3 linked regions of the Drosophila melanogaster genome follow. The protein of the gene in region 2 interacts with the protein of the main gene of each other region in a pairwise test. Each region holds a gene or a part of one and is shown on either strand. Other genes may lie near its edges.

What was found. Proteins that work in one complex are often made in the same cells at the same time.
Region 1: the proteins of vlc (region 2) and CREG interact in a two-hybrid assay, tested with the Drosophila melanogaster proteins (one large-scale study listed by BioGRID).
Region 3: the proteins of vlc (region 2) and Cpr64Aa interact in a two-hybrid assay, tested with the Drosophila melanogaster proteins (one large-scale study listed by BioGRID).

What each region holds. Positions count from the first base shown.
Region 1 is NT_033777.3:17,392,725-17,396,368, forward strand, and holds CREG (cellular repressor of E1A-stimulated genes), read right to left. Parts: upstream 1,917-3,644; 5' UTR 1,812-1,916; intron 1,586-1,811; exon of another isoform or gene 1,543-1,585; 5' UTR 1,536-1,542; coding exon 1,092-1,535; intron 1,031-1,091; coding exon 949-1,030; intron 877-948; coding exon 767-876; 3' UTR 548-766; downstream 1-547. Other genes in the region: sds22, read left to right, coding at 1-185.
Region 2 is NT_033778.4:5,700,457-5,705,960, forward strand, and holds vlc (vulcan), read left to right. Parts: upstream 1-1,655; 5' UTR 1,656-1,731; exon of another isoform or gene 1,732-1,932; intron 1,933-2,218; exon of another isoform or gene 2,219-2,410; 5' UTR 2,411-2,421; coding exon 2,422-2,491; intron 2,492-2,594; coding exon 2,595-3,760; intron 3,761-3,829; coding exon 3,830-3,926; intron 3,927-3,978; coding exon 3,979-4,463; 3' UTR 4,464-4,983; downstream 4,984-5,504.
Region 3 is NT_037436.4:4,207,291-4,211,173, forward strand, and holds Cpr64Aa (cuticular protein 64Aa), read right to left. Parts: upstream 1,889-3,883; 5' UTR 1,803-1,888; coding exon 1,602-1,802; intron 1,275-1,601; coding exon 897-1,274; 3' UTR 548-896; downstream 1-547. Other genes in the region: Cpr64Ab (cuticular protein 64Ab), read right to left, coding at 3,711-3,883.

The DNA of each region.
Region 1 (3,644 bases), on a different chromosome or scaffold from region 2:
TGAACCACAACGGAGTCGATGACTGGAAGGACATTGAGCTGTTGAAGGTGAACAAGGCGCTGCAGACCATCTACCTGGAGTACAATCCGCTGGCCAAGGATGTTCGCTACCGCTCCAAACTGCGCGACATACTGCCGCAGCTGCAGAAGATTGATGCCACCCTGTGCAAGGTGCCCGGTACCTAGATGGAACCACTGTAAACCCCTTGAAAGACTAATCCACGGCGTTGCGCCACTACATTTATATCGATTAACTTTGAAAAACTGCGTTTAAAATATACATACAAATTAACCACTAATGGTTCTATCTACGAATTGGTGGGTGCAGTGATTTAGTTTGCTTTCAGAAGAAGGTATATTTGGATAAGTTACTCAAAGCGTGAAGTTTACCTAATGAGTCAGATAAATTATCCATCTAGGCTACCGCCTAACATATAAAACTAAAAAGTATTTTATATATACACATAAATAATGTAAATTGAATCTAAAAAGATGAAAACATTTTAGTTAAACAATTCTGGTTTCTCTTAAACCAAAACAATACATTTCAGTATGTCAGAGTACATTCAACGGAATGTATTTTTATTTATATCAAAGTTATTGTTCTATCGATTGAAATCACAGAGCTCAACTGATAAGTGGCTTTCATAAAGGCCTTTGTCTTCATTCTTTCCCTTTGTGGCAGACATGTTGTGCAAATATGCTTATCATTTCATTTTTTGACAAAGTATATGAGGCGTCAGTTGGATTGCTTTTGGAGGAGTTCATCAATTCGAAACAGCGTAATAGTCAGAGGCGCTCACTTTATGAGGACCTCCATAGAAGTCCAGAACAAAGATATTGCTAATTTCCAGTTCGCAAAGGTAGAAATTGTGAGCTGTAAAAGAAACAACGTATTTATTATTAGTACATACATATCGAGCTCTTAATGAGGTTCGCTTTCACCAACCTTTTACCCAATTGATGGCAGCTGGATGACGCCTCACATAGGCATCCAGCGATGGCTGATAGCTTTTGTCGCTAGGATCCATCTTCAAATGAGCCAAAACATTCTTAATCCATTTTAAATAGGATTTAATTCATTTTTCATACCTTCTTCACCTGTCCACTGATCATGGAACGGGCACATGTAGGCTCCATGGGATCCTTTCCGCCCTCCTTGCATCTTAGGGTCTGCTCGTCACTGAACAGGAGTGTGACCTTGTTGTCCTTCTGCCAGTCGGGACCAGTGAAGTCCAAATCGGTTAGCAGGAATCGAATACGTCCAGTGGACCTGTTATTAGCATCGCTGTCGTCGATGGAGATAATGTTGACCATGGGATACCCCTTCACCCGTTCGTTGGTGGAGAGACTTCCCACAGCCGCCCAATTGGCGCGATGGACCAAATCTCTGGCGATCTTGGCGTGATTTAACTCTTGCTCTCGCTTATATTCTCTAATTATACGCTCATCTTTCCGGCGGGAGTAACCGGAAGAGGGGTCCAGGCTCACGAGGGCCAAAATCAGGGCGAATAGTAGGGAGTGAAAGGTTTTCATGGCTAGACTGCAAGTATAACGATGCGGTTCTGAAAGATCACTGAACACTGGACAGCTGACGGGTCAGCATTTATGGACAGGGAATTCGCAATGACTGGCTTATCTTCCGGTCATCGTAATCGCGTATAATCCGCACTTTTAGTACTCTCTCTGATTCACGATGTAGGCCGTAAACAAAGCGGACTACGGATAGCGTTGACCTTTTACGCCTCTTTCATTTTCTCTGTGCGCCGCATTCTGCCAGTAATGCCCATATATATATGTATTTATGCCTACCTGGAGGATCTGGACTAATGGCCCCTGTCGGTACTTCTGCTTTGCGATTTGTTTGTCAACTGACTGGGCTACTATTGCGCCTTTATTATCACCTGCTTCGAGTACAAAGAACCACAACCAGCTGTTTTCAGCAGGTACCTCGGATGCGGTGGGGTGTATGTGACGCATATGTTCGTGCATTTTTCTCAGTTCTTCTCAGTCTCTCAAAAATCCATTAGTGTCTTTTATTACAAGATGATTTTAAATGCGCCCCATTAACTGGTTATTTTGAGCACTTAGTCAGTAATGTATGCAGAAAGCAGCGATAAATTGTAAATAAAAACGAATATCTAATTAATTAAAGTTTGGACTTTAGGAATAAGAATAATGTGTGTGGTAAATTTTAACTTTCAAAGAAAACAGCTGCCGTAAAATTAAATCACCATTGAGATTAAATAGTTTGATGTAAAGGAAAATAAAATTTAAGAATTATTTTAACAAATTCCTTTTGGGTAAATTGGCAAGCCGAGTAAAAACGTAACACCAAACTAGTTAGCCATTCGTAGTCCGAGGGTACCAACCGAGCGATCATCCAATAACGGTGGCATACAGCATTGCCAGCTTGAATAAAGTAGACTGCTATAAAACTAGGCTCGTATAAGCAGATCTTGAGCAGAGATTGGTGTAGTTTAACATTTTGTTTTCTTTTATTTTGCAAATATGTAGGTATGCTTAAATATGATTTTTGTTTTTAGGAGTATCATTATGCTTGACTTAATCATCTTTACCATATAACTTGTACATTTCACTTTCATTTAACTTGACCTCAATTAACATTTATTGTTTCTATTTGCGATTGGCTCGAAATTTCGCCAAACTCTGGTTCTGAATATCCACCGTGTGTGTTGTGTTTTCATTATTCTAGTGTGCGATTATTAGTTTAACATTTATTTGTATTTCTGTTACATTTACGTTTTTTATTTTTGTATATTTTGTATATACTCATTTTTCTCATATTATTAGACAATTTGTGTTGTAATTTAATTACGTTTGCCAGATTAGTTTACCCTGCCGCATACAGTTTGTTTGAAAAATATATGTACATATCTCATGGAGTCCTGAAATCAATATGTACGCGTAGATCTCGAGTGTTTTCTCAAAAAATAGATGTGTAAAAGTTGATCGTACGTGTATAGTGTAAATATGTTTGTATGGATGTAAAACATTTAAAGTTAGCTTCGTTGATTTATTGATTCTTTAAAGATTTCTTTAAAATGTAAAGCCCATTTGCGTTGCAATGTTGGGGGGAGTTTTTTTAAATGGTATTTTTCTCCCGTTTTATGCTTACGATATAAAAATAAATAAATCGAATTTGTAACTTCTTTTTGAGCTGATTCAATGGAGTAGTACCATAATGGCAGATCGGAGCTAAAAGGTGCCGAATAAAAATGTTTTGACAGCAGAAAACTGTAGTTATTCAATAGAAAGATCACTTAGTAAATAAACCATTAATCTCTGTTAAATATTGAATTGTTTTGTTATCGCGTCAGAACACTTTCTTCATCCTTTTATAAGTAGTGTCTAATCCAAATTCACTAGAAGAACAGCAACTCAGAGTCCATGTTATCTCTAGATATCTTTTGTGCTTATCAGTTAAGTGGCATGATACAATATTCATTTACGTCTAGCTCTTTTTACTTGCCATACAAATATCGTTGATTATGGTTATGATAACTAAATGCATTTAAATCATCTTAATATTCATACAAATCAATTACAGACACACCGACATTAAAATAATAAAGTATACAACGTTAGTTTTCTCTAGTTTAATGCCATTAGCCCAATGTGCAG
Region 2 (5,504 bases):
TTACTAGTTGGTGAATTTCTCGAAAACGAGTAGAGATTAGTTATTATTTATAGGGCAAAAGGGTATACTAGATTCGTGGGAAAGTATATAACAGGCAGAAGATAGCGTTTCCGACCCTATAATGTATAATGTAATGTAATATATATATATTCTTGATCAGGTTCAATAGCCGAATCGAACTAGCCATGCCTATATGAACGCCTCGACCCAGAGCCGGTTTGTTGACCCATTTTGACACGCTTGCTCTAACGCATACAAATGTCTGGATATTTTTGTATTAGTCTTGAAAGTTTGTATCGATTTGCAAAAAATATACTTTTTGCCACGCCCATCGAACGCCAAAAACGGCCACGCCAATACTATTGAAAAATGTTTTATATTTTGTTCATAATTTTTCTTAGTTTTGTAAATATCTATCGATTTGCCAAGAAACTTTTTTTATAATTTTTAAAATTTTTATTAGTCATGTAATTTTTGTTCGATATGCCAAAAAATATTTGGTAGCCCACAAATCGCACAAAAGTGTCACGCCCAAAATTTTAAATTTTATAAGTCTTGTAAATTTCTCTCGATTTGCAAAAAACACTTTCTGCCACTCCCACATTCTTGATAATTGTTTGGATATTTCTTCATACTTTTATTAGTCCTGCTTAGTCTATCGATTTGCTTAAATACTGTTTGCCACGCAAACTCTAACGCCGCAAAACCGCCCAAAACTGCGACGACCACATTTTTGAAAAACTTTTGGATATTTTTTCGTAACTATTAGTCATGTAACTTTTTATCGATTTCCCAAAAACTTTTTGGCACGTCCACTCTAACGCCCATAGCCTCCCAAAACTGCCACGCCCACAAAAAAAGTTTAGATTTTTCTTCGTTTTATTTTTTGTTTTTTCATTTTTTATTTATATACCAAAAAACTGGCCACGCCATCTTTTCGCCTACGAAACGCGCAAAACGGTCACGCCCACACTTTTAAACAATTTTAAAATCAGGTATAAGCAGGTATAAATACTTATCAAATATAAAAGAGTTCTTTATTTAATTTAAAGGATGGCCAAAAGAGTTGATTTTAAATAATGTTATTTAATATATTTACGCAAATGGTCAAAGAGAACTAGTAATTCGGAAGAACCGCAATTAAGACTGTGAAAAAGATTGCAGCGCTATCGTCTGGAAAACAGCTAAATCAGTTGTTTACTGTTGAATGTAAATAACAATTTCTGCCTTCTCGTGGCTTCAAAAAAATAAATTGCAAATTTAAATCCTTTTTTTTAACGAAATCCAAAAATTTTGCCTAAATCGAATTCGAAAAAAATATTACGTATGCCGAATGCATGTCCGATATTTGTCACATCATGATCACGAACAACAAATTTACATTTTCTTCATCTTATTTTTTCCATGGATATAATATCGGACCGGCTCGGTTTGGCTTACATGAAAGCTTGATGCAAATTGCTTTAAAATTGCGATTAATAAGCATTGAAACGAACTGACGGACTGTCTTGTCAAAGCATATAGATAGTTTTCAAGCACCCCTGTGTTACATTTTCACAGTTTCACTTTTAACAGAATCTTATCGCCGTTACCTTAACACTTGTCCTAAAAATACCATGCACTATTTAATCTTAAAATGCGAAGCGGTCGGCGAAATGGCGTTTTTAATGTCCAGGTCATGGCAACACAACCGCTGTTCACCGATCAGTTTTTATTGGTTTTCAGGAATAAGTAAATTGGATTATTGAAGGCTTCACTTGGCACGTATTAGCTTGGATTTCTATACGCTCAAGCTGCGCAGTCTTCACGTTGTGTTATGAGACCAAAATAGATCGAAGTGCGTGTGTGTGTTATTACCCAAAGGAGTTGTGTTCTTTAAACTTCGAACGCCACCGACATCATCATGTTTTTCATCTCACCGAATTATAAATAGTTGTGTGTCGTTTGTTGGTGCCATAATGAATTCTACACGGGGCCATGGGAGGGAAAAAGTACGGGAACTGGGCGAAGCATCAAAGAAAAGCCAGCAAAGCGGAACTTTCAAAGTGCCGTTAAAGCTGTTCCCATCTGCTAAGCTTACACTTACACATTCACAGGCTTAACTTAGAAGGCGTAGTGCGCTGCTTATATTATTGAATTTGACTGGTGTTTCAAAATATATGGATCTGATTGGAGAGATAGAGGAGATCTGAATCATTATGTTTTGGGTTCCGAATAAGATAAATAAAAATTACCTGTCAGGCTCTTTCGATTCTCTGAATGCTCAATTTCCACATTAAAACCAAGTCAGACGTGGGCGTTATCAGTTTATTCGTGTTTATTCCTTTTGGAGGTCAACCACTAACGGCTAATTACGGTTAAGAATTGTAAATTGCATGAATAACTAAGCCCAATGCTTTTTATACAACAGGCTCAGTTTTCATGGATCGCAGTCTGGACTCTATTGGCAGCTGTTCACTGGATGTAGACGCCGACTCCTCCGATATATCAGGTAAATATTTATATGGATATTTATGTGGATATACATATAACCAACTTCAATCGCCTTGCAACCCATCTGTGGATTACATCGGGTTGATTTCCCCGAATTGCAGATACCAGTGGGAGCCTGAACTTTCCAACGCCGGTCTCAGTAAGGGACATAACACGCGAATTTACTGCCAACCTTCGGGAGCGCTGTGTGCCTAACTTGCCTCCCCAGCCTCAGCACAAAACCCCTGCCTACGTTGAATCCAGGTCGTCAGAGCTGGAGCACATGGTGCTGTCACCTGCAATTGTGGAGTGCGACCAAGAGCCGAGCTCCAATGATTTTGACGAGACTTCTGCAGAAAATTCACAAGAAGCTCCCGAAAAGAAGCCCAGCTATTTAAACCTGGCTTGCTGCGTCAACGGTTATTCCAACCTTACCACCTACGACTCCAAGATTCGGCAGGACATAAACAAGTCACGTGAGGTTTCCCCGATTCGTCCCTCCACCAGCAGTCTACAGTACTGCAAACGCAACCACTTTCTAGCGACACCAACTCTGCACAGCATGCCTTCTCCGGCCACCAAGTGCAAACCCATCGAGCCTAACAACAACAGCAACGACAGTAGCGGGAATTTTAGTTCGGGTTCTGGTCACAGCAATGGAAATGGCAGTTTTATCAAGCAACGGGTGGAGCGACTTTACGGGCCGGGTGCATTAGCCCAGGGTTTCTACAGCCCCAAAAAGCACGGCCAGTCACCATCGAATGCTGCAGGGCGATCGGAAAGGGGGCAGGTGGAGATCGACTCTCTACAAGGCTCCGAACTGGCTCGGAAATTCAAGCAGCTCTCCCCCAGTAAAGACTATGGGGAGTTTCGAAAAAAAATGCAGAAGAAGTGTTCTCAGAGTACAACGGCGAGGATAGACGAGCCGTTGCATTCTCCAGGGCTTAACGGAGATCTTGACCTGCCCGTGTTTAGGCACCTTAGTCAAGAGTTCCGCGCCCAGTTGCCTACTGTGTCACCAAAAAGGGGTGCTCCTCGATCTTGCATGGCTCCTGATGTACTGCTTGTAGATAACGAGTCAAGTCCAGACCATGGTCCCACAGATGAAGTAGACCACGAATCCACAAAAATGGACAAACTAGCCTCAGAGGAATACATCAGCACTTCCAATATTTCTGTTGAAGCTGTTGTTAAGGATGGAAATTTCTTTCTGAAAATACTAAAAGAGGAACAAAGCCGTCTCTTGGTGCTAGCCGCTCTTGCTGAAAAATATGCAGACGCCTTGTCTGTAAGTGATCTAAATAGTGATTAAAATCTCAATTGTTTTTATTATTATTTTCGACACTGAACTCTACAGACAAATCCAGATATCTCCGAAGATACCTTTGGGCTACTGCGATCAGCGTCGGGTAAGGCCCGTCTCTTGGTATCGCAGAAAATGAAACAATTCGAGGGTACGCGTATTGCAAAGCATTAAATCACTTGTTACTAACATTAATATTTTAGGTCTTTGCCACAATAATCTGAATCGCTCACCAGAGGATAAGTTTCCAACAACTCTGGATGATTTACAAGGATTCTGGGATATGGTTTATTTGCAGGTGGAGCACGTGGATTCTATTTTTGCTGATATAGAGAAACTCAAAAGTAACGACTGGAAGGTAAAAGCACAGTCCGTCGCTGACCAACCCGATTTGCACACCATACCAACTAAGACAATAAAGCCGTCAAAAGTCGGTGTTTCGCAAGTGAAAACAGTCGGAAAGGCATCCAGCGTTCGTGTGAATGGCTCGGCACCTCCCCCACCTAACTCGGCAGCAGCTTTAAAGAGGGAGGCCCAGAGAAAACTGCTTCTAGAGATGAAACGTCAGCGTCGCGAGGCTATGACCGCAGCGGCCAAATTGAATCCCATAAATGTTGATGCCGACCCGGACGTGCCGGGAATAATTGGCGATAGTTGTGCTAATCCTAGCGTTAGCAACGGAAGTTAAATAATGCTCACTGCGAATAGCAACTCATGCTTTCTATTTATACATATATTTTTAACTAACACACGTGTACCCCACAAAGGCATACTTAAATTTATAGATATTTCTAGTTGAATTAATCATTTACTAGTCCCAACTAAAATTATTGTGTTGGAGCTCCTCACTGAAATCTGTCACAAGGCGTCAAATATCTAGGAGATAACGAAGTATTGTCACCAATTGCGACTTACCTAAAGTTGTTCATAAATATTGCCTTATCCGCGAAAGATTTCGCTAATTAATCAATTTGCTGTGCACATTATGTAATTGAAAATTAAAATTACTTGATTACATATAAAAAAGACATTTATTCACGTTTTACATTATTTAAGTATTTTAAAAACCAACAAAATTTTTGTATAACATAATTTGATGTTTTATAATTATTTTTGAGAAATTTAACTTATACAACTCTTGGAATATCATTTCTATTAATAGGCAAAATATTTTTATACAACTGCAAATAAAAATAACTCACACATTTAAATTAAAAAAAAGTTAATGCTATACTTTTCCCTAGCAAATCACTGTGGTCGGCAATCGGCGTAGTGACGAAGCACAGGGGGACGTGTGAAGGCGAAGAACTTAAAATCGCTAACTAACTGAAAGGTAATCCAAAATCTAATAGGATCGCATACCAAACGTTGATAGGAAAAAGAGAGGTGAAAGTATAAATCATTGCTAAATTATTCTGAAGTCGTTGAAAAGTATGCAACAGGCAGACGGAAGCGTTTCCGACCATATAATCAAATATATAAATATATATTTTTGATCAGGATTAATAGCCAAGTCGATCTGGCCAAGTAGAGTGATTGATTTCCTAAAAAATATATATTATAGGGAAAAGTAAACTTTTCCGACCCTAAAAAGTATATATATTCGCTATTAGCATCAATAACCGAGTCGATCTGGCCATTTCCATCCATCTATCCGAACGTACATATGAATGAATGTCAAGATATCGAAAACTATGAGAGCTAATTCAATGGGATTGGACATGAGACT
Region 3 (3,883 bases), on a different chromosome or scaffold from region 2:
CGCCACTGAATAATGGCACTTTGGTTCTAATAACAGCGATTATCATTCAATGATTTAGAATTAAACGCAATCTTGGCAATTAAAATCGAATTAAATAGCTTTAGTATGCTTTACTTTTTATTAAGCGTAAAAAATTCACAAGCAAGTTATTGCCTATTAGTTGAATAATATTATTCAAATATAACTCTTTAGTTCTTGAAGGAAACCGATTTATTTGAAAATTATATATTCAAAAAATATGTAACATAAGATATTTTCAATTATTTAGCTACAAATATAGTAATTGTCTTTGAATCCTACTAATGTTCAATGGTTGTAATATATTTCGATATAATATTCAAGCAATAGCTTTAAACAGAAATCAGCTTCCGTTTTAAAACTCAAGAATCAGAGTAATTTTCTTCCAAATTTTCATTTCCCGTAAAAGAATACTCCATTAACTTTCCATTTGCATAGCTTCGGTTCGTTTATTGCAATCTCGTTTCTCATTCTGCGAGTTCTACTCGAGTGCACAGGCTCGGATTAAATAAGAATTGAAACGGGGATTGTGAGTTGGGGATTATAGAGTATTTATCGCGGTCAAACAGCCTTAAGATTAAGAAGACAAGAAACATAAATGAAAGGTCTCGAGAATGTGTGAGTGTAGATGAGGGAACATTGGATCCGTAACTCAAGGACTGGGCAATCGGAATCCGCTGTCCGTGAATTCGTATGTACATATTTCGATAAATCGCTTTCATTTCCACTAATACTACAACTACTATCGACTATGATCGGCCCATGAGCTCCGGCTAACTGGAGCCCAGGTGGCAGGAGAAGTTGGTCGCGATGTGTCCATTATTCGGTTGCGGCAAGAGGTCGGCATTATTCGAGTGGTGTATATCCATCCATCTGACTTAGTGGTAGCCCAGGGGCGAGAGGGCGGGCAGGGCCAGCTTGGGCAGAGCAGGTCCATAGGCGGGAGCCAGAGCCGGTCCGTATCCGTGGGCCAGAGCCGGGTAAGCGGGCGCCAGAGCCGGACCATAGGCGGGCACCTTGGCCACCAGAGGAGAGGCATGGAGCAGCGGAGCCGGGGCCAGAACCTTGGCCACCGGAGCCACAGCCTTCACCACAGCTCCCTCGCGGCGCACCACTGCGTTGAATCCGTGCACGGGATCGGCGGTGTACTCCACAATGCGGCGGGTTCCGTCGGCCTCAATCAGTGAATAGGCGCCCTGCACCACATCTCCGCTGCGGGTCTCCTGCTGGCTCTTCACGTCACCAGTGGAGCCATCCTGGTGGGCAGAAGGAAGTTGTTGGATTAGCAAAGGATAGGAATAGGTACTTTATATTTAAAGAAATGCCTTGAAACGAATCCTTTGCATCTTATATCCTAAGGATTTCAAGGAAACTATAAATATTTTATATCCAACATCCAACTTGCTCAACCAAGTGGTCGGATTTAATAGTTCTAAGCTTCCATAAACACTTCATAAAAATGTCTGGCAAAATCAAAATTTGCATACCAGTTGCTCAATAAAGCAATAAAATTCGAATGCAGATTTCTGAATTGGCATTGCTTTTTATGAGGTGACTAATAACTTCTTACGAAGCTGACTCACATGAACATCGTAGCTGAAGGTGTATTGGGGATTGGGATCGTATGGCTCCGGACCCGCCACCTTGGCCACCAGAGGAGCAGCCACCTTGGCCAGCGCCGGGTACGATGGATAGGCGGGCAGTGCCAGTCCGGGACCAGGGACCACAACGGCGGAGGACACCGCCACCAGGGCGCTCAGGACGAGGATCAGTTTCTGTGCCATTCTGGACGGATTGCTTGGTGTTTGCGATGGAGTAGTGGAGAACTGGAGGTCTACTGCTGCTCGACTGACAAATGAACTCGATCTGTGGTTCTGTGGCCGCACGACAATTGCTTTTTATAGGCCTCACATAGACGCGAGCCCAAAAATCCGCCACAGCCTCCGCCGCCGCCTGCCACCAGATATTTATGCAAAAAGCGCAGCAAGACACAAAAAATAATAATAAACAACTAAAAAGTGAGCATGCGTGTGGAGTCTGTAGCGGCCTGTGCCTATGCGAAATGCTCGCATCGATCGCGACAAATATAAAATAATTCATTTTTCGCTGCCCATGGCAATCAGAAGGGGCTGTCCGGAGGTGGAGGAGCTGCCGGTCGAGCTGAAGGCGCTGGAGGTGCTTGGCGGTTCACGCATGTCTGGGAGTCTGGGAGGACTGTGCTGGACCAAAGCAAACTGGTCCCACGCCGGCTGAATCGCCGTCGTTGTTGTCGTGACAAAAAAGTTCAATTCGAAAGCGAATTATTTGGGCCTAAGCCGGGTGGCCGGACGGATCAGGTGTGGTGGACGCATGAGCACCAGTGCCTCCCATGTCTCCATGTCTCGACTTTATGGCCACCAGATTGGGGCGACGCTGCACACGCACCCAGCAGTCGATTGTTGAAAGGTGTGTTTGGGGCACAGCCTTCGAAACTGGCTGGCTGCTCTAAGCCGCGCCCACCCAAAAAATCTACGCCAGACGCATTCAATGCACTGCGAGAAAACGAAAAAGTTCTAACCGCAATGAATGTGATATGTGATATTAAAATCTCTACGAAAAAAGTACTTGGATAACATATACAATACAAAAGGATATCAATTGTAGAATATTCTGTTCAATCCTATAGATTTTCGAATGTCATGCAGTATTTTTTTGAGTGTATAGATTTGGTTCTGTTTCGCTGCTCTGTTGCCATTGGGACAATTTTGGCCATTATCACTAATTTTCAACGCGTACCGCCGCTTGTTAGGCGTTGCTGCAGTTGCAGTTGCAGTAACTGCTGCAGTTGCAGTCGGCGCCGGCAGCAACATCTATGGACATGCTCGGGTTGGGGTTTGCGTAATCCAAAAATTGCATCTCGTGCCGATTTTTTACTTTCAATTAAGCTATTGAATAATTTGAGTGCGTGTTGGGCCAGCGAGAGTGAATGTATTCATTTGGAGTGGAAGAGTTCTTTGGGCGTGGGACAGCTGGAGGGGAGATAACCATCTAAGATTGCGGTCTTATGTAAGTGGAATGGGTCAGCTTTCTTTGGCGAATTGGGCTTTTCCTGGTTACATTTTGTTACATTTAAAATTACAAAACCACTTTTACATGGCATGGAGTCACGAAAATGTTCACCAAGTAATTAGTTCCATTAAGCACATAACCATTTCCATTTCTTGACACCCGCAATTATGATGTAATTGAAAAAGTTAACACACTGCTAAGTTTCAAGTTCAAAACGACGATATTTGCATCATAATTAACACGCAAATTTTGATCTTGAAAAAATGTCCATTGAATATCTTGTTATTTTGCACTACTTTTAAGTGTGTTTTTAATTTAGTTCATTATCATTAACTAGGCAAGTATGCATTTTGGGCCTTGAGCTTGTCTAATCAACTGACTAATTAATAAAAATGTATAGGTGTAAATTTAAACTCGTTTCGGAATTTTAGTAGAGCTTTTGATTAATTTTAGTTAATCAACGCCTTGAGAAGCGAATACTTGCGGATTTTCCTTGAATATGATTGAAGGATTTCATGTATTTCTTTGGCTTATTGAGTTTATTGTTTAATGATTACTGACTTTACAACGGACTAAGGAGCAGACAATAAGTTATGTAAAAGCTAGGTTACAAGCAGTGTTAAAGGCTCTGAAAGATTGTGGAGTTAGCCCAAGATTGGAGCAGCCACTGGAGCCACCAATGGGCGAGCAGCCACCGGAACTGGTCCTCGCTGCACCACCGCATTGAAACCGTTGATGGGATCGGCGGTGTAGAAGACGGTGCGCAGTGAACCATCGGCATCGACCACCGAGTAGGAGCCCTTGACCACATCTCCAT